4 linked regions of the Struthio camelus genome follow. The protein of the gene in region 3 interacts with the protein of the main gene of each other region in a pairwise test. Links are inferred from orthologs where the notes say so. Each region holds a gene or a part of one and is shown on either strand. Other genes may lie near its edges. The genes, in order: GLRX3, RGS3, phospholipid scramblase 1 and CRY1.

Region 1 (7,768 bases), on a different chromosome or scaffold from region 3:
GGGTTGTTTTTGCCAAATTCATTCACAGAACAAGTCTAACTAGTTTTGCAATTACGCTGCTTCCTGAGTTTCTGACAATTATAAATTAAGCTTGAAACACGACAAGAGTAATTCAAAACAATAAGAAAGGAAAAAATTAAGAGTCAACAAAATAAAGTGCATAAGTGATTATTATAATAAAGTGATTCTAAACAAAGTTTTTCTTACATTCAACCAAGATATTTCTACAAACTCTACCACTAGATAATGGTCATGAGAAAGAGCACAGTAATGAAAATGTTATAATGAGTCCCAAATTTTCTCTTCCTATGTCATTTCACATTTCAAATTTTGGCGGAGGAGCTTTGGGCCCAAAAATAAGGGGCCCACGTCCTTCATCCCCAGTAACTTTTGTTAAACTTGACTGGAAGCAGAAGAATATATCATGCATTCTCTATGGATAGATGAAAAGCACAGTCTTTGTTATATTTAAAAATGTTTTTTTTTTTTTTAAAAGAGAAAGATTTGCTTGAGATGGAGTCACAAAACATCTTTAAAATGAAAAGCCTATTTACTGCAGAACCAATATAGCAAGACATTTTCTGAATGAGAAAATCCAGAAAATTTTTGTTCCATAAGTCAATCACCTTTTAAGCTGAGACGCAAGTATTTTGTAAATATTTATATGCTACCACTGACAGGTAATGCAAATAAAATAATTTTATACACTGATCTTTCTAAAACGTAGTCTAGGTAAAAGAACAGACTGCAGAGTGATAATAAAAGTGGTTCAGTAATTTTGAAGACATTGGCTCTGTTCATCTTATGAGCCTATGAAATCTAGGCATGTTTTGGAAAAATATAAACCTTAAAATTTATACTTACTCTGTAACACACAACTTACTAATAAAACAGATGTAAGACAGATTAGCTTTCTGAAACAAGAGATCTTAAGAAATTAGGTTGAAAGATAAAATGGTGGTAGTTGTATCGCAAAGGCAGCAATTCTATTAGTTTGGAAAAGCAGGAAGGTTATCCAAACAGCAAATTTACTCACGAAACAGAACTATGCCTGACCTTAAAAATTCAACGTATCTTCTACCTTAAGCTTTAACTTTCAAAAGAAAAATACTTCCTTCAATAAATTTTCTTCTGTCTCACTTCGTTATTTAAAGCAATGTTTAAAACCACTTTTTGACATCATTAATTTTCAAATTCACTGTGATTATCTAAATATGGAAGGTATCTTAAGGAAACCAGTATCTATTTTTTAAATTCTAATTTTAAAAATTCACCATCAAGAGATGATGAGACCATAAGAAAAACTTTAATTTGGGGGATTTGTGTGCTTTTAAGTGCAGGTTTGTTGGCTTTTTTAAGTGTCTTAGCAGTAACAAAAAAACAACGTCCAATATTTTTTGACTGAAGCAGAAAAGAATCATCAGTACTATCAATCCCCGCTAGGATCCAAGGTAGTGTAAAATAATCAAATCCCTTAAAGAGAAAACTGAACCATGTTTTAGAGGACAGAGGAAAAGAGAAATATGTTTTTTTGTGGTTGAAAATAACTTCAAAATACCATACTTGCTCCTGGAGCTGTTCTATGTATTTCCCCCTTGGATACTCCCACGCAATAATTCAGCTGAAGCACAATTCCGACAAGGAAAACTGGAAGTCATGAAGAAAGTCTCAGAAACTCTATATCCAAAAATATGAGTGCATTCTTCCCACAACCAAGATTTTTTCAATATTTTAATATTGTCTGTAGGAAAGCAACACTAGCAGTTTCACCAGTCTTTTAAATGAGTAATTTCATCAGTTTTCTCTCCTTCTCCATTTAGAGGCCACTTTCTGATTCAGCAGCCGAATCAGCTAGCACAGAATCACAGAACGGTTGAGGTTGGAAGGGACCTCTGGAGATCATCTAGTCCAACCCCCCTGCTCAAGCAGGGTCCTCTAGAGCACATTGCCCAGGATCGCGTCCAGGCAGGTTTTGAATATCTCCAGGGAAGGAGACTCCACCACCTCTCTGGGCAACCTGTGTCAGTGCTCTGTCACCCTCACAGGAAAGAAGTTGTTCCTCATGTTCAGATGGACCTTCCTGTGTTTCAGTTTGTGCCCGCTGCCTCTTGTCCTGTTGCTGGGCACCATGGAGAAGAGTCTGGCCCCATCCTCGCGACACCCCCGCTTCATATACTTGCAGACATTGATGAGATCCCCTCTCAGTCTTCTCTTCTGCAGGCTAAACAGGTCCAGCTCTCTCAGCCTTTCTTCCTAGGAGAGATGCTCCAGTCCCCTCACCATCTTCATAGCCCTCTGCTGGACTCTCTCCGGGAGTGCCATCCCTCTCTTGGACTGGGGAGCCCAGAATTGGACAAAGCACTCCAGATGAGGCTCGATGCTTGCTTTTTTTTTTTTTTTTTTTTTTTAAAGGCAGCATCAAGCTTTCACATGCCTTACAAGGCCTATTCACCTCTCTACTCAGCTCAGGGATTAAAAGACAAAACACCACAGCTGCCCCACCTTCCCTCCCACAGGACAAGCGGGGCACAGGCCCGGCCCCCGGCGTACCCCGGCTCCTCTTCTTCTCCTCTGCGGCCCACCGCAGCCGAGGACGCGGGGGTGGGATCCCCAGCCCCCCGCCAGGATCAACGCCCGAGACCGGCGGCACCGGGAGGAGAGCCGCCACCAGCACCCAGCGCTCCGCGCTGCAGGGGACACCGCTGCCCGCAGCGCCGCGTTACGCTCACCTCAGCTCACCTCAGGGAGCCGCGCCGCGCCGCGCCGCGCCTCGCCTCCCCTCACGGCGCCGCGGCCCGCCCGCCCCTCGCCTCCCCTCACGGCGCCGCGGCCCGCCTGCCGACCCCTCGCCTCCCCTCGGGGCGCCGAGGAGGAGGAGGAGGAGGAGGAGGAGGAGGAAGACCCCCCCTCCTACCTGTCCGGCTGCTGCAGCAGCTCTTGGAACTGCTGGGCCGAGCCCGCCACCACCACCGCCATGGCCGCACGCAAGCAGACGGGGCGGGGGGAAGGACGTCACGCGGCTCCGCGCAGGCGCCGTGCCGCTCCCGCGCAGGCGCCGCGGGGCGGGCTGATGGCGGCGACGCGGCGAGGAGCAGCTCCCCCCTCACCCCCCCCCGACCCGTGAGGGCGGCCTGCGCCGTTAGAAACGGTTACTCTGAGGTAACGCAAGTCGGGCGTTAAATCATAATTCCGCTGAGCCAGCGCGTTACACAGGTAACGCGGTGAATGAGGCCAACACAAGGCGGAGTCCGCGCCAGGGTTGTCCTCAGAGCACCCTGAAGCCAAGCGGAGCGGTGTTCCGCGGGGCGCGCTTCGCCTCTCCTTTCGGCTGGTCTTCCTATGACCAGCTGTTATTAATGCTATTTATTTCCTGCCGTCGTCTTAACAGCTATTGGTTTATCTTAACTGGCGTTGCAATGCAAGCAGCAATTCTTTTAAATTCTTTTTTTCTCAGGCACGATAAGAAGTAGGAGAAACTCAGTCCTGCTCGCTGATCGCTGCGTCTCTCGGATGGTTTCAGATGAGCGGAGGGAAGAAGGTCTGATTCTGCGTATTTCCTCATTTATCCCCTTTTTCTCATTTATTTCCTCATTTGTGGTCCGTAAAGCCCATATTTGTGAAAGTTACTTAAATAGACCAAAAGAACTGCCACTTTAACGTAACAGAAAATACATAATCAGAAATTTGTAAGAACAGAAAATCTTGAGGGAAAGCATCTTTGGGATTTCACATCATCTTTTGCTCAGTTTCAGAGCTTACAAAAAGGAGTGATCCCTTCAGTCACAAAAGAAGGAAAACCCACTAATTTTTGCCTGATTTTTATTTGGAGTAAACTAAGAATATAAATTTGTTTGAAATCGAAATTTGTTGTGTTAGATAAGTATGTCCTACAGATCACCCATATTTTATCTGATTTCGGATAATAAAAAATTTCATGTATTTAAGAACCTGTAACATAGAGCAAACAGCTTATAATCTCCACCCGCACCTGTTCCATGACTAATAAAAGGCATTTGATTGTGTAGAGTGGCATAGGATACAACGTTGTGACATAAGACCATACATATTATTCTAAAAGTAAGTCTAAGAAGACTGCAATATGTAATTCCACAAACAAATCTATCTACTCGGGGTATTTTTTTCTCCTTTTCAGTTACCTGGTACCACACAAAATGTTCACTCTGTTTTGTCTAATAATTATGGATATATTGTAGATAAACATATTACTGGAACAGAGTGATTTTTGCAGTAGTAAAACATGGTGTTATAGTCTAATTATCTGTTATAATTAAGTCACATATTCTCCATATTTTTGGTCCCATTGCTTAACTGATTTTTAACAAATGCAGCTACTTTTTGCTGCAAAGGAATTCAACGCATGATAGTAGCCTATATGCTGTTCAAATCACCCTAATATGCAATTGAGGGCTACTGTACTCTCTAGTCTGCAGGCCAAAGCCAAATGACACAATTGTGTTTTAAGAATGACTCACGCTACTTCACCTGTAGGATGTAACTTCTCAAAATAAATGTCTTCCTCTGTAGCCTATGTCAACTACATCATGTAATTTAAAACCTCCTTCTTTAGTAAGGTTCACAAGACCTTTTCAAGGTTCATTTGGAAGGTAAAAATAAGGATTGCTGTTAAAAATGTATAGGCCCACTGAGACATAGGAGAACTAAATCTCCCTAACATTAGGCTATATTTCTGGGCATCCCATATGGAGTATTTGGCAGCACAGTCCCAGGGAAACCCAAGGCTTCAACGACTCCAGATTGAACAACAGGCAGCAGGCCAAATTAATCTGGCAAACCTCCCATAGTGCCCAGTTGATCTACTGCTCACCTCAAGTTGCAAAGAATTTGATTACAGAGGCAATACCCAAGTCTGGATAAAACAAAAGCTGAAGATGTAGCTAAAGTGGCATAGATGCTCTGCAGTGCCGCTAATGTTTTCTTGCTCTGCTTGAATATGTCAGTCTACAAAAGAATTGTGTTTTGGCTTTACATTTGCTAATAACTATGTTATAGTGCTCTGTTGAAGTACTGAAATGGATATTCCTTACAGACAGAGGTTTGATTTTATTATATTCAAGCTGGGAATTCCCCATAAAATACTGATGTGTTTTAACATAATTCTAGTTCTATACGATCCCTGAACACACTACTTCATGTGTGGCAGAAAAGTTACTGGTGCTTTATACTGTTTTCCTGACCCATGCATAGACAAAGACGGAAGAGACAGTAGAGAGACTGCATAATTCCAGCTTAACGAAGTTAAAGTAGCTGAAAGTTGCTAAGTATTCAAGATATACACAAGCTATTGTTTTTATATAGAAATACTATTTGTCAGTACCTGTGTAGCAGCGTACGTAAAATAAAAATAAACAGCTTTAGAATGTACAGAAGCAACACCTTTTCTTGTTTTATCCGGTTACAGTCTTTCTCTATTTTGATATAGCACTAGCTATTCTTTGAGGAATCTGGTCTGCCCTTTGCTCCAAAAGACTTTTTATTATGCACAAATTTGGCATCTCACTTACTCAGAGTGATTGAGAATAGCATATTTTTGTTGATACTTGCAAAAAAATAGCTTCTTAAGTGTCTGAACTCATGAGATTGACTGGACTGTACAAATTAAGATTGATCCTAGGAAAAAAAAAAACACAGTTTGAGGGAAATGGTGGTTGCATTCAAAGACAAGTTAAAATCTATGCTAAAATAGATTACTTGTTTTGATAAAATTATTTTATTTTTGAGTATGAGTTTTTTGCTAGGGCCCCTGACTTTAAGCCTTATCTATTAGGTGACATGATTATCACATGGGAATCTTTCCCTCCTTAAAAAATCCTTATAAATCAAGGCAGAGTCGTTTATTTATGTAGTGGGAGATATTCAGGGACAACCCCCTGGCCTGCACTGAACCTAAGGTGAGATTCAGTACATAGTGTGCAACCACATGTTCCCACCATGCATGTTGGTTCATAGAAGGGGGTTTTATTCTTCCCTTTTATTCTAGGGAGTTGAGGGTGGCTTGAACATGTTCAGAAAAAAAAAATGCTTAGATATGGTAAGAATGTGTAATATGATATGGTAAGAGGAGCCAGGCAGAGGGCACCGACAATGGTAAGAATGGATACCATAACAGGGGTCTGAAAAAACTTAATGATAGGCAAAAATACCGAGAAAGATATTATACTTGGACTTCTGGATGCATGACACAAGATCAAATGAAAAATACATATCTAGACAATGTAAAGGTTTGGATGATGAAGATGTATTGTATGAACACTGGGGGGGAAAAAAAGCAAATATTCTGAAAAAAGACAGGAATTCACTCTAAGACATGTCAGGTCACAGTATAACAGGAGTGGAAAAAAGCTATGAGAGATCACTCGTTTTCTCAACGAAAACAGAATGAAACAAAAAGAGGGAACATTTAACAAGAAATGAAATATAGCAAATGTAGAGATACTGATATTTTCATCTAGGAAAACAGCAAACTTAGGGTCCCAGTCTAAGGCCTAAGGATACAGACCTAATGTCTGTAATTGCAGAAGTTCCCACAGTCATAAGGGTTTCTCCAGCAGCATTCAGCAAGATATAAGAGGAAACAAGCTGGAAGGTGTGACAGGTCTGTGATCACTAAATCTATTTACTAATGGTAAATTCTTTCTCCTAAGTTACCTGGTACGATGCAAAATGAGGGAAGGAGTTAAGAACAGTAGAGAAAGCACAGAGAAGCATTTAGCAACTGAGCATGATGGAGAAATGGAAAAAAAAATTTGAGTAAATGGAGAGAAGAATGAAAATAAAGTTATAGCTATTAGTAGATTGGAGGTCTTTGAAGACCGTGGTATAGAGCCAATAGTCAGAAAATGCCTGTGCAATGACAGAGAAAAGGAAGTTATTCTTAGAAAGAAAGAACAAGGTGAGTGAAAGATGAAAGAAGGAATAGTCCTTGCCAAAAAACAGTCTGCTCAGTTTTTGGGTTATGCATTAAAGAAATCTCATGGGACTAGTTCATAAGGGTACTTCTTTAAAACATAGACTTGTGAGTCTTCAGTTTCTCAAAAGAATGTGAGAAAACCGAATCTGAGAATGTGATGTTGGGGGTGATACAGAGTAATTTCTCTATATATGCAAAAAAGAGCAAACTACTCCAAATAAAAGTCAAAGTCTCCAGAGGCAAAGGTCTGACTATGAGCTTAGCAACTGCGAAGATAGTTGACAGTCTGTAGATGGCAACAAGCTACCTCTAACAACCAAACTAAATCTCTGTTCCTCTGCTGGAGCTTTTCTTCATCAGGTCACCTGCAGAACACAGGGTTGAGAATTAGTGCCTGAGACTCTGACCAGGATATCTGCCCTATTCTCTTATCTAGCAGCATATATTAACACCTGCACTAAAACAGAAGAGAAATGGATAGCACAATACATCACCCACCCACACCACTGAGTACAACAAAATAAGTAAAGGGCTTGATTTTTTTAACAACAGAGTATCATGACTTTCACCTGCTCCTGCCCTGGTACTACATGGGCAGATAACAAGCTACTCCTTAGCACGCAGTTGTCTCATACTGCCTTACACAGCATGAGCTTTACTAATACCAGATAGGCTCTAGTTGAAAGCATAAGACATTGTATCTGGAGATGTATTCACATGAGGAATTAACACCTGTCACCTCTAGCCCAGGATGTTTTGAAAAGGTTTGTAAATTGTATCTCTTCCACCTTTGTTACTAAACTGCTTAAATCTTGCAAT
Region 2 (7,307 bases), on a different chromosome or scaffold from region 3:
TCATCGTGGCCAAGAGACACCTATTGTACTGCTGCCATAAATCACAGCCCCTTTGGGCGCCGGGAGGAGAGACACATAACGACACGTTCTTCTCCGAAGGCCTCCAGACAAAGCGCTTGGCTCCGTTCGGGCTGCCCGCCTCCCCGGCACTCAGCCTTTCCCTTGGCAACCAGCAGGAGCCCCGAGGAGATGCCTGGCCAAGCAGCCAGCTAACGCCACCGGTTGCTTTTCTTGCCTCCCAAGATGTTTATAGCCCTTGAGGGCCCAGAAGGATTTTCTGCAGACACATCCAACGCAAAGCTCCTGCCCCATGGTGAGGAGGGGCCAGAGCTGAGTCTACGCAAGCTGCATGAGAATCACCTTCCTGCTCTGGGAACCAGGTCCATCCCCATCGATGCGGCATTGCTGGAGCCTCCTGCACCCGGAGAACGGCACAGCCCAGGGGAAGGGGCGCCAGGCACCAACCATGGGTGAGAGCTGTCGAGAGAAGAGGCTTCCAGTAGGGCTTGGGGCCTGGGCAGCCTTCTGGCCACTTGGCCTTTCAGCAGACACGGCTGGGAGCCCAGAGGCTCCAGCTCTGCCCCCATCACCTCCAGCTGCAGGGACCTAGAGCTCAGGGTGGGCTGCAGAGGGAGCCCCTACCAAAGCCAGGATTCATTCGTTAATTGCTGCTTGTTCGTTAGCAACGGCGTGACCTTTGCAGTCCTACTTAAAATGCTGAGGACGCCCAAGCAGTGTGGGCCATTTCGACAAGCAGAAGCACCTGCAGGATGGGCAGAGCCAGGAGCTCCCGCGTCCGCTGTGGTTTCTCAGCAGCTCCAGCACATCTGTGCTTCCCCGTGATGCTGCTGGATTTGGGTACAGGGGAAAGATGAATCCCCTTTTCCCAGCAAGGCTGACACTGTCAGAGGCCCAAGAGGGGAGCAGGAGATGCAGCCTGGTGACAGCGGTCCGAACTATGGACGCAGCCAGCAACTAAATGCTCTTTGTGGCTACCTGGCAGTTACATGGTCCCATAGCTCCCAGTGCTGCAGCAGGTCCAGTTTTCCCCAGCAGTGAAGCTTTCAGCCCCAAAGAGTTTATCTGAGTTGTAACAAGCTAAAACTGGGGACGTCACATCCTCTAACACATCCGCTCATGGGCAGAGGAGCCCTGGACACAGCCGGGTCCTGCTCCTGGAGCCAGGGAAGGGATGAACCCCTTCATGCTTCACAAGCAGCACTGCCAAAAGACTTGGGAGAGGATCTGAATCACGTGTGTTTTATGTTACAAAATGGTAGAGGAGCTCTCCCACCCTCTCAGGACTCCCCACCATCCCAGCCCTGGGCTCTGCAGAACAATATCACAGAGGCTCCAAACACCTTTCTTACAGCTGTGTCTAACAGCAAGATTGCAGACGGAGGTACCCCTGACTGCCTTGGGTTAGAGTCAGTGCTACCGCCACCCCGTGCAGAAGGGTTGAGGAAAGGTCCTGTTGCCATCCCTGCATCGCCACATCCCCCAGAAGCCATTGGAGCATCACATGCACCAGACCACAGGCAAATGGCATCAAAGCCCCATCCTGGGCAATCAGGAGCCAGCGCATACGTGGGACAGGCTCTACTTGGGGACATGGAGCAAGTTCTAAGGGAAATTAGCACTTCAAACCCTCCCTTCAGGCTTTTCAAAAACTCTTCCCCTCATTTTGTTCAGCTGAATCCACTTGCTGACGTTCCTAGTGACCTCCATCTCCCACCCATCAAAACCAAAGGTTTGTCCCAGCAAATTTACTAGCACCTGGGAAAAAAAATCCAGCCTGGCAGCATATGTTTCAGTACACAGCATCCCCAGTTATCGATGACCAGCACAATACATCTCGACCCACAGGATATCCAACACCAAGCAGTCCTACTGGGGGAGCGAGCAAGGGAGCCACTTTGAGGTCCCACATATCCTGAATGTCTTTCAATATGGATGAAAGGCCCCATCCTCACCTCCTTCACAGCGTGTCCCCATGGCGGCATCAAGACCGCAGCTTGGATTGCTCCTCTCTGGTGCTGCCGAGCCTGCCGCTCTCCCTGGCACACCACTGCACATCCAGCAAGTGGCGAGATGTGTCTCACGTGCCACCCCTGTCTCCTGGGAACTCCTCAGGCTTGCACAAAGCCTCCCCTCTCCGTTTCTTTATTGCAGACGGTTTTAAGAGGAGAAAGGAGGGATGAATGACACAGTTACAAGAGAGCACTGTCCCTTTAATCAGCCAGTCCCACAGGTTTAGGTGAGAGAATCCCATCAGGTAGGGCTTTTACCCCATTAAAAAAAAAATAGAAAAGGTAAAGAAGAGTCTCTGGGATTCTGGGAATGCAAGGCCATGGGAGTCCCATGCACCCTCCTCCCAGAGAGCTCAGAGCTCACCAGCCGTGAAAATCAGCCCTAGCTCTCAAATGCAGCAGGCTCCAGCCCTCTGTGTCCCGCAGCACAAGGTGCTAGTGGAGAGCCTCGAGGCCTGCCACCAGCAAATGCGACCCTGCAGGGAGCTGGGCATCTCCGACACCCTGTGAAGGGCGTGCGGGGAACATGGTCCTTCACCACCTCCAAGCACCAGGATCTGCTTCAGTGGTGAGAAGTAGGCACCTGCATAATCGTAATTCTTCCTTCACCCAGGAGACAGAGCAGTACCGCAAACTAAGAGAAAACATCCGAGCACTCACGCGTCAGCCCCGGCTTTCCCAGCTGCTCCATGATTCCCAGGCAGGATGCTCTCTTGCTCCAGCAAAGTCCAAGCACCGGCGTCCTGCGCTCAGGCGTTTGACTTTGACACCAAAGAAGAAGAAGAAGCAGAAAACTTGGTACATAAATGTCCCAAAAGAGCAGAGCTCCAGAACTGGAAAGTTACACATTAAACTGTGTGCAGGGAGGAGTCGGTGGAGTTGCATGCGCAGCAGCCCCTCTCTCTACAGGCTCCCAACAGCAAGGCTGGGACTCTTCCTAACTTCCCTCTTAACATTTAATCTCCTGGGGACTGACCTTAACCTGCAGTTTCTGCTAGAGTCTCCAGCAGACTGCACACTCAGCTGGTTGGCTTGGGAGTTAATGACTTTCTTTTAAAATTTAACACGGTTCTCCGTTACAGATTTCGGTTTGCCAGCATTAGGATCTGCCTTTGACTGGGTATTCAAATCCAAACACACATGCTTAGACAGTTAGTCCAGGCTAAAGGATACCACATGCACACAAAAAGCTCACAAGGCTGAAGCTTGCTTTGACTAGAAACTAAAGCAGATTGTACTGACCGGGAAAAACTACTTCACTTCTCAAATGAAAAGTGGATTTTTAGGAACAGAGTAGGTTTGGGCTATTTTGTGGCAATCCTGCAGGCAGATTTATTCTTAGCAAAGTCTGCCACACAGGGCAGACACAGAAAAACTCAGCGCTTTGCCAGCAGCTGGATTGCTGCAGTCTTTCCCCTGGGGTCTACAGCAAGCATCACTGGTGCCGGGCAGAGGTGGGGTGCTCCTGTCCTCCAGCACCACCTCTGCAGCAAGCACAGCTGAATTGTTCCCTGAAAAATGCCAAGGAGGAATCCAACAGAGCCACAGGCTGGCCGACAACTACATCTCTTTCCCACTTGGGACCCTGGAAAGGTTTCCCCTGCTGCAAGGGTCTCTTCAGAAACCTCGTGACCGCTCTGTTCAGACGCCAGAGTCTGCACGTCCCGCTGAAGCCCAAGTCCCAGTGCCAGGCGCAGCGCCTGCAGCAGCATCCCCACTGCACCCCGGTGCGATCCTCGCCGCTGCTTTACCAAATCGCAGCCCCGTCTGCTCATCCTGCGGGCAGGTTTGCACGGCAGATGCACCCCGCGCTCCAAGCACCCGCAAAACTGCCCTCGCAGCAGGATTCAAACCCTGTTAGAGAGTTTAAACCGACACTGATCCAACGTTAGCAAATTCCTCCTGAGCTGCTCTTGCCCGCTGCCAAGACACACAAAGTTGCCCTTTCCCTCTGCAGCATCTCCCACCCACCATTCATCCCCCAAATCAAATTACAGCCGGCTCAGGGCATCGAGCCTGGAGCCCCCCAGCAGCGACAGTCAGCTCCGAGCTGCTGCGCCTCTGCATCCTCCACCGTCCTCCTCCAACACAAGTTTATAGCTCTATAATCTTTTAAAAACCAGCATGCAAAGCTCCAAATAAGACGGGTAACACCCACCTCCCTCACAGCCAGTCTCTGCGAGTACCGTTCAGCAGCAACACTTGATGCTCCCCTGCAAACGGCCAAGTCCAGGCAACTCCGAGCCTTGGGAACTGCTCTTTCCAAGGGGCTCCTGCCAGCTAAAGCCACAGGGCACTTCTTCTCACAGACAGACAAACATCCTCTCCTGCTTCAAACTGCGTTGGGTAGGTGCCCAGAGCCTCTGAAGGGGCGAAGGAGGAGACCGCGAGGGCCCCGCTCCCAAGTCAGGGGTAGATGCTCTCTTTACTGCAGTTGTTTTGGGGGATTGCCAGAGAGTAAAATCTCCCTGCCAGGACCGTTGTGCTCTGCAGCCCTCGGACACTCGCCTTCGCCATCAGGCATGGCGTTGTCAGGGCGCCCAGGCTGCCCCAGCGAGGAGGTCCAGCCAGGCAACTTTCCTACGACATAACCCTGCAAACACAGGCTCTGGGGCGATAGACCCCAAACCCCAGGAGGGAGGCCCTGTTCAGAGCAGCATACAGATTAATGGGATATTGCGAATGTCTGGAAAGGGGAGAGAGGAGAGAAGGCTTGAAGAGGAAAAGTTCAAGTTCTGCCTAAACACGAGGCTGCGCAGGAGGCTCCGGCGCCAGCGGACCCACCCGCAGGGTGCAGGGCAGCCTGGCTGCATCACACGCAGGCAGCACCCGGGGCTTGAGGATGCTGATTCCCCAGACAAGGCGAGGGATGCCAAAAGTAGGTGTGCTTCCCCCTTTCTCAGCGCATGGGAGGGAGGCCCCCGCTGACAATATCTCCAGGAAAAGCCTCAGGACTCACATGCCAAAAGAGTCGCAAGAGAAAGAGGCTCCCGGCCCGTGCACTAAGCGCAGCCTTCGCCCGTTCCTCTGCCTCCCCCGCTGGAGCTGGGTCCCACTGCAGGACAGCGCTGCCGGCAGCCCAGGTCCCCGTCGGGGGTTTGCCTGTTCTCCTCTGCCGAAATCATTCGCTATAAATTAAATAATTCTAAGACACATCTTCTGGGTAATTTTATATCCAGGAGAGTGGTCACATACAGGTGTCTGGAAATCAGAAGGCATGCTGCTCTGCAGCGGAGAGAGCTGAGAGCATTCTGGCAGGCAAAAGCCAAGGAATATCGTATAAAATAGGAAGCGATAATAAAGGGACTGAGAGCACTAATAACTGGGGTGCCAGGAAAACACCACAGCAGTTCAGAAGGCAGGTGGAAAAAACAGAAGGCATGATCCGGGGAGAAACATGCTTTAGAAACAAATGTTTGGACGCTTCAGGCCAAGAGATAGAGCATAAACTATAAACAGCAAAAGGGAAAGCAGATAGACAAGGGGACAAACTTGAGGATAGACACGGCTTCTACAAAATTCAAGCTGGAAATCTATCTATCCTCCCTGCTAAAAAAGCGGTGAGAACTTCCATAGTGAAGCTACACCAGCCTTTAAGTTTAGATCAGACTTCTCCCCAGGAAAGCGGAGATCCAGGCGCAAAGCAGGATCCCTAAGGCAGGGCTCTGGGTGCAGCTGCAGGTCTGCGACCAGTCGGGCAGCAGAGCGGAGGAACGAACGTGCCCCCAAGAGATCTGCCAAGAGCACGGCTCTTGGGTTCACCTGCACGCTGGAGAGCCAAGCAGGGACAGGGGATGACAGACCCACTTTCTCTCCCTGGATGCCAGGATGCCTTGAGTGCTCAAAATAATGCATTTCACCCCTGTCCTTTGGAAAACTCCAGGAAGTGCCATGACAAACCCCTTTCGCTCTGCTGCCTTCAGCTACCGGGAGGAGGGCAGGAGCCCCATGCCCGCATCCTGCCTGCCAAACCTCTGTGCTGTAGGCCAGGGAGTGCTGCCAGTGGGACCTCCCATGTGCCCAGGAGGCAGCCCGGTACCTCTCGCAGCACTACCAGTGGCCAAGGCTTGCTCCCACAGGTTCCTGTTTGGAGTGGTCATTGCTCAGCCCCACTCATTCCCTGAGCTAGCACAGTGCTTGAGCCCTGGCCTACTGCGCCGGTCTGCCCTATGGAGTGGGTGGGTAAATGCGATTTTCTTGACACAGGATATTAAGGCAGCTACAGCCAGGCCATGGCGCGTATTCGAGCTGCTCAACAGACTAGCTCCTCTTTGGAAGCCAACGCGCAGCACAGAAACAGGAGAGGGGGTGAGAAGCTCTTCTTTAATTTTCAGAACTCAGAGATTTGTACCTGTCCCAAATGTTTACAGACTGCAGAAACTGCCGGGCCACTTCCGTCACCTGCCCTGTGGCAAGGGAAACACAGTGGAAGGGGCCTAAACACAAGGCGAGACAGGAGCTGAGACAGGAGCAGGCCAGTGTCAGGACAGGTTCCCTCAGCCATTGTTTGATGAAGGGTTAATGGAGAAGACTGTCTTGATTGCTGTGTCCTTCAAAGGCAGGGGTTTCCCCCTGAAGAAATCTCATTATAGTCCTCCTGTAGGCACGGAGAAGGAGGCGGAGGCGGCGGCAGTTTGTAGGAAGGGTCATCTTCAAATTCCTCTTCGGATAGCGGAACCGCTCTGCCTGGGTACTGGACTCCCTGGATGTGGCACAGTGCCCATGTACCGTCCTCCCGGCTCACAGCGCCGCTGGAATATACATAGTCTTGGCTCCCTTTTCTTGTCAAAGGTTGCCTGTGCTCTTCAACACCTGGCCAGAGGATAAAAGAAGAGGACGTGACAGGGGACAGGCATTGCCCTCAAGTGCCTCAGGCCACTGTGTTCAGTCAAACAGAACAAGATAATGTACCCAGAGCACAGAACGTGAGACTGAAACCATGATGGATGGGCTTCCTCTCACCTACCCTGGGCTCTCAAAGGCAGGTCTGAGTTAGCGGGTACACTAGCTCCTTCCACGAACTACCAAGGAGCCTGGATGATTATCCTGGATGCTCCAGCTTTAGGTCATTGATATTTCATGACGTAAGCCCTATTCCTCAAGACAAAATTTACAAACCTTAAGTTCAGGAGGAGTTTGGAGTGAGCCTGCTGGACTTGGCCCAGTGTCTCTGACCTGTCCTCAGGCTGTCCACAGTAATGTCCAGGGTGATATCAAGTCTTTAGAAATATTTAGTCTGAAACTTGCAGTAGTATCACACTTGCTCCTTTTGTGCCT
Region 3 (7,285 bases):
ACGCCAGTGAAATATGAAGAATTACAGCTGCACCCTTCGATAAACCTGGGAAAGTAGAGACAGAAATAAATCATATGATTTATTTAAGAGAAAGGCCCAGAATCATCATCTTTCTCCCACAAAGACACACAGACTTCTCTGTGGAATCTGGTTTAGAAACTATTGTGATACACAGCCCAGAAGAGGAACAAAGCTTTTACAAAGTTCGGCTCCCATGTTATCAGAAAAGTCGCTGAAGAGTTAAGATTACTTTTAATAAAAATATTTGCTGCTTCTGCTTGCTGCTTTCACCTTGACTCCTTTTGCTGCCTCCAATTCAGTTGCCAAGAGTAACAAACAATACCAGCAACACTCTGCTCTTCTCGCAGATAATCAATAAAGCTTGTGAAACAATAAAATATTCTGAAGAACCAAAAGGAGGAGGAATGAAAGCTCATTTTTTTCCAGTCCTTGTATTATGCAATATCTTCCTCGGGCAGGCTATTACAGGAGGGGAAATTCCCATCTGCTGAAACTTACGGTCAAGAAAACATAGGCAGACAACAGGCAGACTGGTTGCTTTAGAAATGTGCTGGTTTCAGCTGCCTCAGCGACACAAAGCCATGCAAGACCAATAATTTGAAGTCTACAGTTTCATCTAGCAGACAGTTTAGTGAAAAGAGACTTTACAAACAGGTCGGTCTTCCTAGTTCTAGCAGCAATTTTTCAATAAACATGGGGAACACCTGCCCCCAGCTGAAGTGCGCGTGGGCAGGCAAGGAGGGTGGAGAGAGCAGAGCCTCGCTGACGCTGACCCACTAACGGGCTGCTTAAAGAGCTGCTGCAGGTGCTTCACTGCAGGGCTACGCATGAGAGCAGATACCAGGAAAATCCTAAATGCTCTGTTCAGTTTTGCCCTTTTCTGACCGAAATTCACACAATAATTCATAGCTCTGAGTCCACTATCTTGAAGAGAACATAGGCAAGAGAAATATATCCTCTTTTCCCTGGAGGAGGGGACATAGCAGGCAAAAGCAGAAGTGATTTTGCTAGCAAGAAGGAAGCATTGAGGGCTCTGGGGACAATTGATGCAAAGCAGCTGTCTGTTAACTACAATTATGAAATATGGCCTCTGAATCTTGTGAGGCCTCCCTGCTTCCTCCGCTACGCCTACAAAATGAGATTGAGAAGGGCAGCAACTTCCAGCGTAAGCTGCAAAGCTAACTGTCATGAAAAACACCAATTTAACCCTGCAGTGTGACTTCCGACTTCAATTACTGCAGTGCAGAAAGGAAACTAAAGAAACCACACATACGCAGCCCTCCAACTGTCAAGGACAGCGGTTCAGCTGCAGGTCAGCAAGCTGTCGTCAATCCAAGACCCACATGCTTCATATGCTGTGCTACTTACAGGAGAAAGAAACTAAAATCAAGAAGTCTCATTTCCTCATATCCCTCTACGCGTTAGGTATCCAGGGCTAGTATTGCCATTTCTTCCTCCTCATCCATAAGAGTTCCTAAACTCTTCTCTTTGCTCTCAGAATCTGCACTCATTTCCATAGACAGCCTAAAACCTTTCACTTAACACTAGCATAGCTGGCCAGTTCCTTATCTTCCTGGCCTGGCAGAATTGTTATTCAAAGGGGCAACACAGAAGTAACCATTAGATGGATGCAGATGCCCAGAGCACGGTGCTCTTCCCCATCCAGTGGGGGTTGAGCCTAGGCACCTAAAAACAGCCAAAAACTTTTGGAAAGGAAGCGGAGGAAATACCATCTCTAAAGGAAATCATAACAGAACAGTTCCAGTTTACAGAATAGTAAGGAAATAACGTTCCTAGACTGTCCCCCCTTCCCCCTGTTTTTTTTTTCCTTTCTTTTTAAGGAATGGCAGACTCTTTCTCAGTTGTTTTCTCATTTTCAGAGCTGCATGACACTGCTTCAGTTTCTAGATCTCTCTTATCCTGTTGCATGTCAGTAGATATGTGGTAATTAGCAGAGAAATTAGGTATGTCTTCATGAAGTTAACTACAGAGCTTCCACTCCGTTATCAAAAAAAGCACATTGGTTTCATTTATGACGAACAGTTACCGTTCTCATTCAAGTCACTAAAACAGTACCACGAGCATATGAACGTAAGCTGCACAAGTACAAACGTCACGCTCAGTCATTTAAATACCAACACAGGGCCATTCCCGAGAAGGTTCACGACTGGGAGAACACACTTACAGAGCCAAATAGCTGTAAGGCACTTCTTTTCGTCACACCCATCACATTAGCCATTGGATTTTATTTAACCTTGACTGCTTGTGAAACAACATCTTAGAAATCAAGTTAATCTAACAAAACAGATATTTGTTTGTTAAATTTAACAAACAGTTTCCAAGAAGGAACAAAACGAACTATAAGTTGATATAAAGTTATTTTGTTCTGGTGCAGCGAGGTACCCCCTCCCCTCACAAAGACATCTCCCCCAAAACCTGGGGGTCACAACACCCGAGAGCAGGGAAAAAACCCACCCGGCAGCAGATCACGCAGAGGCCGGGGCACGCAGGCTGCCAGCGGCGAGGGCCGATCTCGGAGGGGGCTGGCAGGCGCCCGGCGCAACAGCCGTACCGCAGTCCGACTCGCAGCGCAGCCTGGCACGGCGCTCGCTAGGCAAGCCTCCGCATAAGCTCCTCTTTGCGAACCACAGTGTTATTTTGACAGCTCTGGCAAGTAACCGTTGCTAAGGAGACGCGTTTTTAGCTTCACTCTCAGTCACCGACTAGCAAACATCAAACCCCTTTTGCAGCCTACCTAACCATTAAGCAGTGCTGGGAGGAAACGAGGAGAGACAACTCAGAGGACCGCCTAGAAGGCGACACACACGGTACACAGATCCTTACGTTCTCAGCCAAAATACCCGTCCCCGAGGAAGAGGAGCCGCTCTCCCGCCGCCCTCACCCCGAGCGAGCCGCCACGCCGCACCAACCCCGGCTCGAGCCGCCCAGCGCCGCGGCCCGGTCCGGCCCTAAGAGGCAGCCGCGGCGGGCGGGGGGGCCGGGCGGTGCCGGGCCGCCCCGAGCCGCCCCGAGGGGGCCGCCCCGCCGAGCCGCGGCAGCGGGCGGGGAGCGGCCCGTTCTCCCCCTGCCAGTATGAAATCATATTTACGAGCGACTTTCGACCGAGCACTGCCCGCAGATTTCCGCCTAGTCCTCCTCCGTCATCTCCCCCCGCTGCAAACAGCTCCGACATCCCTGGCGGCACTGGGAGCCCCACGAAGAGACGCCGTCGCCTCATTCAGCTGCCGTCTTCGACTGTCTCATGGCAGCGGGACATAGGGTCAAGCATTTAAGTGATGAGCAGTGTTTCTTGCAAGGTTTTCTTGCGGTTTAAGGTGGTAACGTCACTGCTAACTCCGTATAACTTCTAAAATTCAGATCACTACGGTATTTCGTGGAGGAGGTATGGGGAGTCAAACTTGCCCATGTAAATATTAACTTTTATATGTACTATCAAATGATTATTCACCATAAAGGATAATCCTAAGCAAATATCTCAGCCTTCCTATAATCTTTACACTATCACCTTCTCCTGTGTGAAAAGCAGCTTCCCGTACAATCTAAACATTCGCTAACAACACCTGGTTTCTTGAAAACACGTGACAATAGAAGAAAAAACCTTTGATTGGTACTTCCGCTGATGCCCTGTTTCTGAAAGATTTTCTGAAAACAGGTCAGCTGAGGAAATGATTGCCTTATTTTTTATTTTGATGTCTGATACTACATAATATTTCTTTTTAATATAAGGGTATTAACTGGAGAAATAAAGATGCAGTACAACGGATTCATATTCTTAAAGAAACACTGTCTTTAAGTCTGAAAAGGTCCAAACTTTCTAAAAGTTTCTATAACTTCTAAAGCTGCTTTATTTTGAAAACATCTGCCTCTAAAAGGCTACCTTGGGAGTGAGTCTTACAAAAAGGGACAATTTCATGTTGCTATGCAGACATACGTGATGTGAGAACTGGAATTAGGACTGGAGACACCTATTCATTTCTTCACTTTTTTGATAATAAATTTAACCTTACAACCTCAAATCCAAGAAGGACCCACAACATGTCTGCCTTCCAAACTGTGTACAAATACAGTCTGCAGGTGGTCCCAAATTTACTGCACTTTCCTGCTTCCACATAGGCTCTACAGAGCTACTCACCATCCTTAATCTATAATAGAGTGGACCGATATAGTGATGAAGGGAACAGGGAGCCCTGAGAAGAAAGTCAGCAAAGACTCTCAGTAGGCCTCTCACCTGTGCAACTAGGGTTTTTGTCCCAGGAGAGGATTGCTCTGCAACCGTCACACACTGCTATGTTTTGCACTCTACCACCTAAAAGCAAAGGCTCATCAAGGTTTCTGTTAAGTAAAATTTACCATACTTTTCAAGACGACAGGCATAAAGTTACATTTCACAGAAGTACCTCATTTGTTGGTAGATTTGTTGTTGGATCATGGGAAATGCTAAACCCTTCCCTTACAGCTCAGTTTTTTATGAAGAGAGTTACTTTACTAATAAAATATGTTTTGCATTCAAAATATTTTCAGGTTAAAGATTATCAGAGATGCAATCAACATCAACATTACATAGATTAGTGATGAATCTAAAACGGAAATGCCTGATTTTATAAGGGTCATCGTAGACTCATGCAATGCTTATTCCTGATAATCACAAAATGTTCCTGGGTTACAGAGAAAGTAATATAACACTCAAGAGGATTGCCTTGCAGAGAGATTTCTTTAAATGTCACTTTTTAGAATTTATCTTGTATAAAAGCAGGATTCTCTGAAATGAGAATCCTCATTTCAGAGACTAACAAGATATTTTCTTAAATTTTAAATTTAATAGTGAATTCTTCTGCTAGTTTCTTCAATGATTTTGATCAAAAAAAGCTATTAGGCACTTCTGAATTGCTGTTCAAACGCTTAAAAGTCATGCCTTTTATTCTTCAGAACTCTTGGATATTGTTACATGCATTCATTTACCTGTATCAGGTGCAGGTAAAAAACTAAGGAGATACATTATGCAAACCTTATTTTCAGGACAGCAGAATTATAAAATAGAGCAAAGAATAGTTCTGTTCTGTCAATAAGGGTCTAAATATGGCATCTACAGTAGCAAAACACACTTCTGATGTTTCCATCTGCGGGCTGTTGCTATCCCTTTCTTTCATTATCCATTCCCACTACACAAGGCTTAGGACTGCTTTCAGACAAGCTCTATTATCTATGAAGATCATCCTGTCTGATGGATTAGTAGAAACAAAAAAGCGTGATGTTTTCACAAGAAATAAAAAGCCTGCTCCTTCTGTATTAAGGACTAGCTAGCTAATTCTTAAAATACATTGATCAAAATGTCAAGGACTTCATAGAGTGTAGCATGACTCTGAAACATGAAGTATTTCATACCACATTAAATATAAGCCCATCACCTAGGTAGTGCAAAAAATGAAATTATCTTCACCAGATCCCACACCTTTGAATATCTCTGCAGCAAAGGTACTGCCATTCACCTTGGATCACATTGTATCTATATACCTTGAAGTTACAGATGAAGAGAATTCAGGGCTTAAAGGTTCTAGAGCATGAATTAGACACTTACAGTAAGAAAGCAAGCACCAATCAAGACAGCTTCTCCAAGAAAGATGGGGGCACAGTAGCTGTCAGGATTTGACTCTAATAAAATACAGACATAATTAAAAACGCTGGGTATTTTTCAGTAGCTTTAACAATTTGAATATTAACAATTCCAATTAACTAAGGAAAATGAAAGCTATAAAACATTCTTTTAGACTAATAATTTATCCAGTTGAACATCTTTAAACCCCTGTTTTTGCCTTAACGATGAGGTAGACTCATTTGGCATTTAACTGTGCACCATTTCAAGTTTTCTGTTGAGATTTTCAGATGGAAGACATCAATTAGTGTGTCCAACTGCACAGCTCTCAGCATGAAAATTCTTGAAGATCCAGCGTCAATCAGTCTAGGCTTTTCTTTAGGCATTATTACTCAAATATATTCAAAATTCTAAATTGATTCATAGCTATCCCAGATTTGACATTAGATTTGTGCCTACCGGCGTCCAGTCTTTACAAATGTTGTGTAGACAGTGTATGTGGAGGACATTGAGGGGAACATGATCTTAGGTGTCTTCTCTGTCTAAGTGTTCAAATCATTAAGGCCTTGGGTACCTTGGGTACACAAGGCAGGTCAAAATGTTCCGTCAAAGTGGATGAAGGTCACCTAAAGTAATTCAGAGGGGAAAAAAAAATCAATACCCTAAAATTATGGCTACAGTCTCTGTGTCTTGTGATAAGTCAAAATGAAAACCTAATTTGCGGAATCTTTAAAGATAGTGGACAGCGAGAAAAGTAACTGTTGCAAGAACAGCAGCAGCAAAGCTGTGCGAAAGGTCTTTGCACTGGTATCTTTTCTCCTCTAAACTTTCATGAAGAGGAGTAATAAGAATACGTATAAGAACTTAGGGGAAAAAAATTGTTTGCCTGCTGCAAAATACATTCTTTGCTATACATTTGTGTATTTTGATTTCATAACTGTTTCAAAGCCAGTAATATCTGAAAAACGAGACACTACTCAATTGCTCATTGTGTCCCAGAAATGAAAACAGAAACAGTAGAGAGAGATCAACAAAGTCCCAAATTTACAAATACAGATATGTTTTCTTGAAAAATTTATAATCAGCTAGAAGGAACACTTCTTCTATAACACTTCTATTCTCTAAACATAACCTTGTAACTGTTTGCAATTCTTTAAATTTAAAGTAGACTACTGAGTATTTTATCTGTCCTTCAAAAAATTGAACCATTTGATACCAAGAATTTGGCTAACTCTTCTGAGGAGGCCTTGCAGATAGCTGAGAGAGATGGTTCCAGCAAAAAAGAAAAAAAAAAGTGAAAAGAGGTATAGAAATACTATCTCTAGAAACTAGCAATATAAAATCACAGTCAGAGCAAAAGGGGCAACTGGGAGCAAAGAAATTAAGAAATAAAGGTAAATAAGTAGGTCATATCTGAGTTATCAGTAGTATGAAGGAAAGAAAAAGAAACTTTAAAAGGAGGCACTTTATGGGATGGTGAGAAGAGACTATATGGTCAGGAACTGCCCCCCCACAAGCCAATCTGCTGTTGAAACCATCATTTTGTGAAACCACATTATCAAGTATTAAACAGTAGCTCTTATGAAAATGCCCTACTGAAACGTAGATAAACCTGACGTGTCATTGCTCTCCACTTTGCAACATACCTTTGGC
Region 4 (7,963 bases), on a different chromosome or scaffold from region 3:
TGCCGGGCGCCCCGCTCTCCCCCTCCCACCCCGGTCCCGCGTGGGTCCTCCCCACCCCCCGCCGCCGCCGCCGCCCTGACCTGGCTCGCCGCCGCCGTGCGCTGCGCGGCCGGGCCCAACGGCCGGTGCCGCCCGGGGGGGAGAGGGGGGAAGGCGGGGCGTGCGGCGCGGCGCGGCCGCCATGGCGGGGCGGTGCCGGGGGGGACGGAGCGGGGCAGGCGGCGGCGGGCGCTGCTCGAGGGACGGGTTTGGGGCTGTGCGCCCCGCGAGGACCAAGTGCCGCCGTCCCGTCCGGTAGCCGCGGTGCCTCCTTAGCCCTGCAGTGCCCCCTCGCCTTCCCCTCCCCCCCTCCTTCCCCGCCAGGATGAGACCGTGAGGGGCGGCCGTTGGCCACGGTGAGGGCTGGGGTGCCGCCGCGCCTGGTGCCGGCCCGAGGGCCCTGTCGCCTGCCCGGCCGCCAGGTTTCACAGCCCTGGCGGAAACAGGTTTTGCCCCCGAGACGGCTGGGGAGTTCGGCTGAAGTCAGCCTGCGTGTTGAAAAGCTGCTGGGTGAAGGAGTAGAGCCCCAAGGGACGGCGCGATGGCGGCACTCGTTCCCCCTCCTCACGAGACGGGCGGCGGGAGCCATGAGAGCTGCCGCGGGAGCGCCCGGTGGGTGAAGGCCAAACTCAAGAGAGCATCTCTAAAGCCCTACGTCCTGTCTGAATCTGGCGTATGTCGTTTCAGCCTTGTCTGCTTTCCAGTGAAACGTCAAAGTAACGGCCTCGCCAGCACCGTAGGCTGAGCAAATGGAGGTGCTCTCGTGCCCGGGAAGCTGCGCGTGGCCCATGAGGTCCATGAGGCAGCAGCACGGGAGCGCTTGTGAGCACACAGGAGCAAGTCCATGTGTCGGCGTGGGCTGCAGGGCTCCCTTTCACACCTGGCACCCGGAGCATAAATGTGCTGGGGTTTCTAAAAGGCCAACAGTCACCGTCAGTCCCTCCCTGGTGTGGCAGGAGCTGTAATCAGGATGGAAACAGGCTGGGGAAGTTGGGTTGGTGCCACGCGGTTCTCAGGGTGCCTGGCTCCCGTCAGTTCTGCTTCGTCATGTTTTCATTTACTGGTGCAAGGAGAAAGGGGAAAAAAATGCTTGACTCAACAGATCTCACAGGACTGAAGTACGGTTATTAAGTGGCTGTACTTTTAATTCTGAGTTTGCAGTAAACAAGGACTTTGCCATCCTCCAGATGCGACTTCAGTATGCTGTAGTTCATGCACTGATTCACGGTGTTTTTAATCGGAGTGAGGTAAATTGGATTGCAGTCTTTTTATCATGGAAAAACACCTGAGTTTCTTCCACCTGGTAAAATATTGACTTTGTTATGATTAGAAATGTTTGAAAGTGACCTACTAAGAGGTATTTCGATTTAAACAGCTCTCAAGCGAGTACTATTTAGTGTACTAAATAAAGCAAAATCCCTCATTTTTAAGTAGTAGTATGGTATCAAAGAAACAAACATTTGAAAATTAAGTTACTTGAGTGCCTGTGTTCCGATGGGAAGCAGATGATCCTGTTGATTCTGTAAAGGAGATGGCCTGTTTCTCGCGTTTATCCAAGTGGAACAGTGCTAGTGAGACTTACACCCTGTACAGTGCAATAGCTACCAAATAACACTATTCAGGAGATCAAAAGCAGTAGTGCTCCTGATACCAAATATGTTCTCTGCAAAGACTATTCTACTGTTTTGGAAAGCAGCACACTGAAAAAATCTTTTCAGGATCAAATTTTGCTGAGAGGCAACAACGATGTAATCATAGGAAGCTTCTCTTATATCAGTATATTTTCTTCCATATGATCACTGTACTTATCCCTAATAAAAAAATAAAAGTCATGTATATAGTCAATGGATTAACAGTTTTGCCAATGTTGTTGCAGAAGCTAAATGAGCTGTGACGGTGAGAATCTGCTTCCCGTATCTTACTCTGTTCAGCTGGTCACTTCTTTAGTTCACTTCTAAACTTAGAGTAAAAAATAGGCAAAGATGCAAATAATTTCTAGACTAGACAATTTTTCTAGGCAGTTAGCATTTTTAAAACCATCTAACTCAGGTCTGCATAATGCTGTACTTCAAAGAGTGAAAATTAGGACTGTTCGCTTTGAAAACGCTTCTTTTGTCAGCTACATTTTCAATAGTCTGTATTAGAGCAAAGTGTGAAAGAATTGCTATAGTATGCTCTACGGACCTTGCTCACGCTTGGTTTCCTACATGACTGCTGTTTCAATAACACTTAATTGTGAGTATGAGTGACATAACTGCATGCAATGGAGTTAAGACACATGGATATAAAAAACTCATCTGATTTTTTAATACACAATATATTCTGTTTACTCCTTGATGTTTTATTTTGTCCTTTCATGCCTTCATGTTGTCTTTTTTTTCCCCTTCTGATTCCTTCTCCTCTCCACTCTCTGGATTTCTGTTATCACAGCGTGAGCCAAGTTAGCTGAATTAGCAATACTGTTCTTTCAAAAGTTATCCACAAGAGAACACAGTAGTGGGCTTAACTTGTACAAGTTCCTTGATTAACTATCATTCTATTTTCTTTCTTCACCAACTTGAAGAGAGTGCCTCTTCCCTTGAGATCTGACATTTTAATTAATATATTCTTCATCTTCCTTCCACTTTTTAAATCAAAAACAATCAGTCGAGAATGGAAGGTATGGATAGAGCTGAACGGTGTTTTGACATGCTGCTATGCTAATTACAGTTGTTATTTAATCTGTAGTGATAAACAGCTTACAGAGTGATGGTTTTCATGGTTGTAATTTGGTTATGAAACCATAAATTCCTGCAAGGGAGGGTTGCTTCCACCTCAGTTTAATAGTTTTACACGTTAACATTTTGAAGAAGGCAGATCAGTTGACACTGAACTTTCTTTAGGGCCATGGTTTGTTGCTCAGTGTCACAGCCTTGTAAGGAGCTAGCAGGGAACATAAGATACAAGGCTTCTGACTGATGATCTTAGAGAGGCTTGAAAAAGCAGCTTAGAAGTTTTAAATAAAAACTATATCGTAAGGTGACTTTCCTTGAAAATAAGCTTTCTTCTTCAGTGTGCTCAAATATTATACAATTAAAAGGAATTTAATGGGAAGTGGGTATTAACTACTGAGATGTTTTTTTCATTCTTTTCTACTTTATTTATTTGAAAATCAGTCACCAAAGATTTGACATTTCTTAACAACTGAACAAGCAAGGAACCCATAGGTTCCTCTTGGACCAGAATGATGAGCCGTGCAATCTAATGTTACATATATGACAAAATAATAGTGGAAAACCTCATAATAATTTATACTACTGTTAAGTTACTGTTAAATGCTTAAGGAAAGGTGGTCCACCATACTTTTTAGAGAGAAGGTTTCTACAATATCAAATAGCAAAGGGCTCTTATCATGGTTAGGGCCTTTTCTGTTAGCAGCTTTGCTAACAGTATGGACATTTTATGAAGTCATTCAAGGTGAGGAAAGAAGAGCATCAAGGGAAGCACGATGCGTTATGTGTTACTTTTTATTGACTGTGGGTTTGACTTTTTCATACCTAAGCAGAAAAAATATTTCAGTAGAAACTCCAATTCTGAGATTTAAAATACTTTCCTACTCTGGAATTCCGGAAGTCAAGGGAGGTAAGTACTGCAAGTGCATGTCCATTTTACTGTAGAGTCATTATTTGTAGTGAGATCTGTCTTGCTGTTGCTGTTTATGGAAAGCACTAGAAGCCGTAGGCTAAGTTATAATTCATACACGAAGGTTTGCTTTCGGACGTGCATACAGAGCTGCTCTGTAGGGCCTTGAAATTGCTATACTGAGTCCCATCAGTAGGACACCTCATGCCAGGCGGCTGAGACCTGAGTAAAAGTAAGAAAAGCTGCACCACGCAGGCATCTTTTAGCTCTGTACTTAAAAGGGAACGACATGTTAGATATACACCATTTGCTAATAATGACGCTGCTGACAGTGCTAGAGACCATTTTAACTCCTTTTACTTCTCACTACTCTCCTGAAGACGTATTTCCTTTCCACAGCTCTGGCACAGGCGAGCTGCACAGCCGCGTTTGCTCTGCCTTTGTTCCGTGTCCCCCCCCTCCCCCGCCCCCCGTTTTTGCACACCACCTCCGTACCGCTGCGGCCAAGGGGTAAAATTACTTCGTCCGCTTCGTAAGCGACGAAACGTATCTTAAAATGAGGGGGAACTCCCTCCTCCGCCTCCCCCCTCCTCCTCCTCCTCCTCAGGCAGGGACGCCTGGCCGAAGCACCGGGGGGGGGGAGGGGGGAAGGGCGACGTGCGAGGGCGGCCGGGCCGGGCCGAGGTGCGGCCCCGGAGCTCCTCGGCGGCGCTGGGCTCCCTACGTGGATACTTACATAACCGTCCCGGCCCGTCCCGGCACACAGGAGACGGCAGCAGCAACTCCGCCTCCCCCCGGTCACCCCCGCCGCGGCCGTTACGAGTTTGGGGCGGGACCGCGCATGCGCTCTGCGCGCCGAGCGTTATACATAACTGGTCACGGGCACCGCCCCCCCTCCGCGCGTGCGCACACATGTCCCCCCCAACCCCTGGCGCCGCCAGGATAGCGGCGCCTCCAAGGGCCTCCTCCGAGCCCCGTGCTCATCCGGGGCCCGGCGCCCCGCGCGGGGTGGGGGGAGGGGGCGCGGCCTCTACCCGCGGCGCCCCTCCCCGCCGCGGCCCGGTCCCTCGCACCGCCCCAGGCGGGTGGGATTCCCGCCGGGGCCGCTGGCTCCCCCGGTTGCCCGCCGCCGCCGCTGGCGGGAGCGGGGCCGAGCGCGCCGCGGCGGAGCCTCTGCCCGCCGCCTCTTCCCTCCGCGGCTAGTAAACACACTTCAGAAACGTGAGGGCTGGCGGTCACGTGGGGGCGGGGCAGGCCAATCAGGGGCGGGGGGCGGGGCGCGGCGGCTGGTGGAGCCCCGCGCAGAGTCACAGGGCGAGCGGCGAGGCAGCAGCAGCGCCAACGGCCGCTGCTTCCCGGGAGCGGAGCCACTGCCGGACCTCTCCGCCCCGCTGCTTCTCTTCCCCTCCCCGCGGCGCGGGGAGATGCGTCTCCGCCGGGCGGTCGGCGCCGTCTCCGCCGGGTCCTAGAGCCGCCTGAGGTGAGGCCGCGTCCCGGCTCCGCCAGCGCTCCGCTCCCCGCGGCGGCGGCCCCGGGGACCCCGCGCCGCTCCCGCTCCTCTCCCGGCGGGGCGGCGGCCGCTGCTCGCCCCGGCGCTGAGCCATGAGCGGCCCCGCGGGCGACGGCTCCCGCTGAGCGCCCGCCGGGCCCGCGGCGGCGGCATGGGGGTGAACGCCGTGCACTGGTTCCGCAAGGGGCTGCGGCTCCACGACAACCCGGCGCTGCGCGAGTGCATCCAGGGCGCCGACACGGTCCGCTGCGTCTACATCCTCGACCCCTGGTTCGCCGGCTCCTCCAACGTGGGCATCAACAGGTGGCGGTGAGTGCGGGGGACGGGGGGGGGGCGGCGGGCCCAGGCCCCCGGTTATGTATGCGGTCACGCTGCCCGCTGCCATCCCCGCCCTCCCGCGCCGCCCGGCTGCCTCCCAATTGGGCCGCTGCCCCGCCGCGGCTCCGCGCGCGTCCCCGCGGGCGGCGGCCGTTACATATCCAGCCCGCGTGCCAGCCCGGCCGGCGGCTGCCGCGGGGGGAGGGGAGGGGGGGGACTCGCCACCAGCGCGTCAGCCCCGCGCGGGCGGGCGGCGGGGGGGGGGGAAGGGGGAAGGGAGGGGGCGGCGGCGGCGGCGGCGACTCCGCGCTTCCCGCCGCAGCCGCGCGGCGGCCTCCAGCCGGCCCGGCAGCCGCCTCCCGAGCAGCCCGGGCTGGCAGCCAGAGCCCCCACTTGCAGTGCTGCGCTCCTGCACGTACCCCTGTGGGAGAGAGAGAGGGGAAGCTTTTGGATGAGTTCAGAAGTAAACTCTCAGGTTATCTTCCCCGTAGGGATAGGGTGTTCGGTGCTCCTTTCGGGAGCATGCAGTTCTTGCACCTTTGGGCCAGGTGTGCTCCTCCTTTAAATATAAAGCTGAACTTTTTGCTGTGGAGCGGTGGCTGGCATCCAGTATGGAAACGTATGCCATCTTAAGACAGAAGTTAATGGGACTTCTGTGCATGCATATCTTGTGAGATTGCATTAAACAGCAGTAATAACTTTATTTTCTTTTTAAAAAATAACTGATAATGTGGTAGAGTTCTTCTGTCATCCATCTAAGAATGGCAGGAATTTCAGATACTCGTGAACTTAGTCTGCACAGACCACAATGCTGAGAGGAGTTGACTAATTATGGAATGAGCACAGTATAACTGGACTGCACCCAATGTCATGATGGGATGGCTGTCAAAGTAGAGCTACTTGTTTTTTTAGTTCAGTTTTCTTAAGGATTATTTCTTTCAGCTGTAATACCTTCTCTCCCAGATCATTAAATACTTTACCAGGAAGTTGGTTTCTCTCTCTCTCTCTCTCTCGACATCTTGAAGTTTTCATTATGGCCATATCTCTGGTTTAAGGAAGATACAAATATTAAGAATAGGCTTTCTGTGATCTTTAACTTGATGGTTATTCCATTTTCATTGACAAGAACGAGGTGCATACCACTTAATAATTGTAAGGTAATTCCCTTATCTGAGGATCATAATGTATACTTCTTTTACAGAGACTTTTAAAGATTCTTGCTTGTTTTGAAGGAGATAATTTTTCTTGTGTAACAAATCTGAACGTTATAAACAAAGTTCAGAGGTTGTATGTAGTCTTTACAGATAAAGTGTGAAAAGCTACTTAAGTTTTAAAAGAATGCAGCCAAATTGCGTGTCCAGAATACTTCACAGGTTTCTAATGTATTTCATAACTGAAAAAACAGAGAGAGCTGAACCATTCTTGGTCATATTTTGTGAGCTAGTGAGTGATAGACAAATGTGAACTTTATGATCCTAGCAAAAGGGAATCCATCTCTCTAATGCTACTGCCTTAGTTTTCCAATGGCTGTTTAGTATGATCTTCACTTAATACAGTCCTAGAATACATTTATGCATAATAAATCAGCAGATGCTCAACAAATGCATTTACTTTAACGGTTCTCAGTGGTACAAAAGACAGTCGATCCTTGCACTGAATTTTACATTTGAAGTAAAACATCTCTTAGTTGTTGGTCAGAGAGGGTGGGTTTCTTTTCAAGGAGAGGTATTTACTTATCTTTCAGTCCATTTTTGAGGAGGGGATTCTTCTCCCTACAAAAATGAAGAAATCATAGAAGGAGGGTCAGTTGTAACACCCCTACCCTCAAAGCACTTCAAACAATATCCTGGATTTTGAATACCCCAAGGCACATGCTGTGCATGGATTTGAATAGATCTCACTCCTTCCATAGTCCGGTTTTGTGAGATTTCCAGTTTTCTCAAGTTTTTTTTTAAAAAAAAAAGTGAGTTTTATAAAATAACTAGCTGCTGGAACTTCATACTTACTAGAGTGATCTCAGTAAATTCTTATTTCAATGAACAGTTCATAGTTTGGAATTAAACCAGTTTAGGTGCCAGTAGTTACAATGTGAGTGTTTTACAGCTGGCTAAGAATAGCTCATTTGTAGTATGCATACTGAAGACCTGTGAAGTGATACTTTTTTATTTGATTTGCCAGTCTCATTCAGTGCTTGGTATTGATAATCAAGCATTTTAGCTCCTTGGTCACTGGATGACTTCCTTGCTTATATGCATGTGGAATAGAGTGTTGAATTGGTCAAAAAACATTTTATTTGAGATTAGGAGCAGAAGCCCCTCAGCATCTGGAACTTGAATCTAAATTTAGTCTTCTGCTGTGGGTTTACAGTGATCCTCCCATATGTATGGGTTGATTTACCTTAAGAGAGTTTATGTTCTGATGAGTTTAGGAACCTAACACCTCGGGTGCTCTCTCTCCTCTTGCAAAGCTTTTCTG

What was found.
Region 1: the proteins of phospholipid scramblase 1 (region 3) and GLRX3 interact in binary tests that used the Homo sapiens proteins (3 or more experiments, as listed by UniProt). The two-hybrid records come from large-scale screens. The link is inferred for Struthio camelus from reciprocal best matches to the Homo sapiens genes PLSCR1 and GLRX3.
Region 2: the proteins of phospholipid scramblase 1 (region 3) and RGS3 interact in binary tests that used the Homo sapiens proteins (3 or more experiments, as listed by UniProt). The two-hybrid records come from large-scale screens. The link is inferred for Struthio camelus from reciprocal best matches to the Homo sapiens genes PLSCR1 and RGS3.
Region 4: the proteins of phospholipid scramblase 1 (region 3) and CRY1 interact in a two-hybrid assay, tested with the Homo sapiens proteins (2 studies listed by BioGRID and IntAct). The link is inferred for Struthio camelus from reciprocal best matches to the Homo sapiens genes PLSCR1 and CRY1.

Annotation. Positions count from the first base shown.
Region 1 is NC_090948.1:1,878,498-1,886,265, forward strand, and holds the start of GLRX3 (glutaredoxin-3), read right to left. Parts: upstream 3,006-7,768; 5' UTR 2,977-3,005; coding exon of another isoform or gene 2,915-2,976; intron 2,807-2,914; exon of another isoform or gene 2,740-2,806; intron 2,335-2,739; 5' UTR 1,564-2,334; intron 1-1,563. UniProt on the Homo sapiens protein: Together with BOLA2, acts as a cytosolic iron-sulfur (Fe-S) cluster assembly factor that facilitates [2Fe-2S] cluster insertion into a subset of cytosolic proteins.
Region 2 is NC_090961.1:12,237,629-12,244,935, reverse strand, and holds the start of RGS3 (regulator of G-protein signaling 3), read right to left. Parts: upstream 3,004-7,307; 5' UTR 2,722-3,003; coding exon of another isoform or gene 2,691-2,721; 5' UTR 2,077-2,690; coding exon 1,974-2,076; intron 1-1,973. Other genes in the region: C20H9orf43 (uncharacterized protein C9orf43 homolog), read right to left, coding at 6,583-6,842. UniProt on the Homo sapiens protein: Down-regulates signaling from heterotrimeric G-proteins by increasing the GTPase activity of the alpha subunits, thereby driving them into their inactive GDP-bound form.
Region 3 is NC_090950.1:16,852,203-16,859,487, forward strand, and holds the start of phospholipid scramblase 1, read right to left. Parts: upstream 3,005-7,285; 5' UTR 2,866-3,004; exon of another isoform or gene 2,497-2,865; intron 2,408-2,496; exon of another isoform or gene 520-2,407; intron 46-519; 5' UTR 1-45. UniProt on the Homo sapiens protein: Catalyzes calcium-induced ATP-independent rapid bidirectional and non-specific movement of phospholipids (lipid scrambling or lipid flip-flop) between the inner and outer leaflet of the plasma membrane resulting in collapse of the phospholipid asymmetry which leads to phosphatidylserine externalization on the cell surface.
Region 4 is NC_090942.1:61,486,240-61,494,202, reverse strand, and holds the start of CRY1 (cryptochrome-1), read left to right. Parts: upstream 1-4,952; 5' UTR 4,953-5,140; intron 5,141-5,267; 5' UTR 5,268-5,321; coding exon 5,322-5,479; intron 5,480-7,963.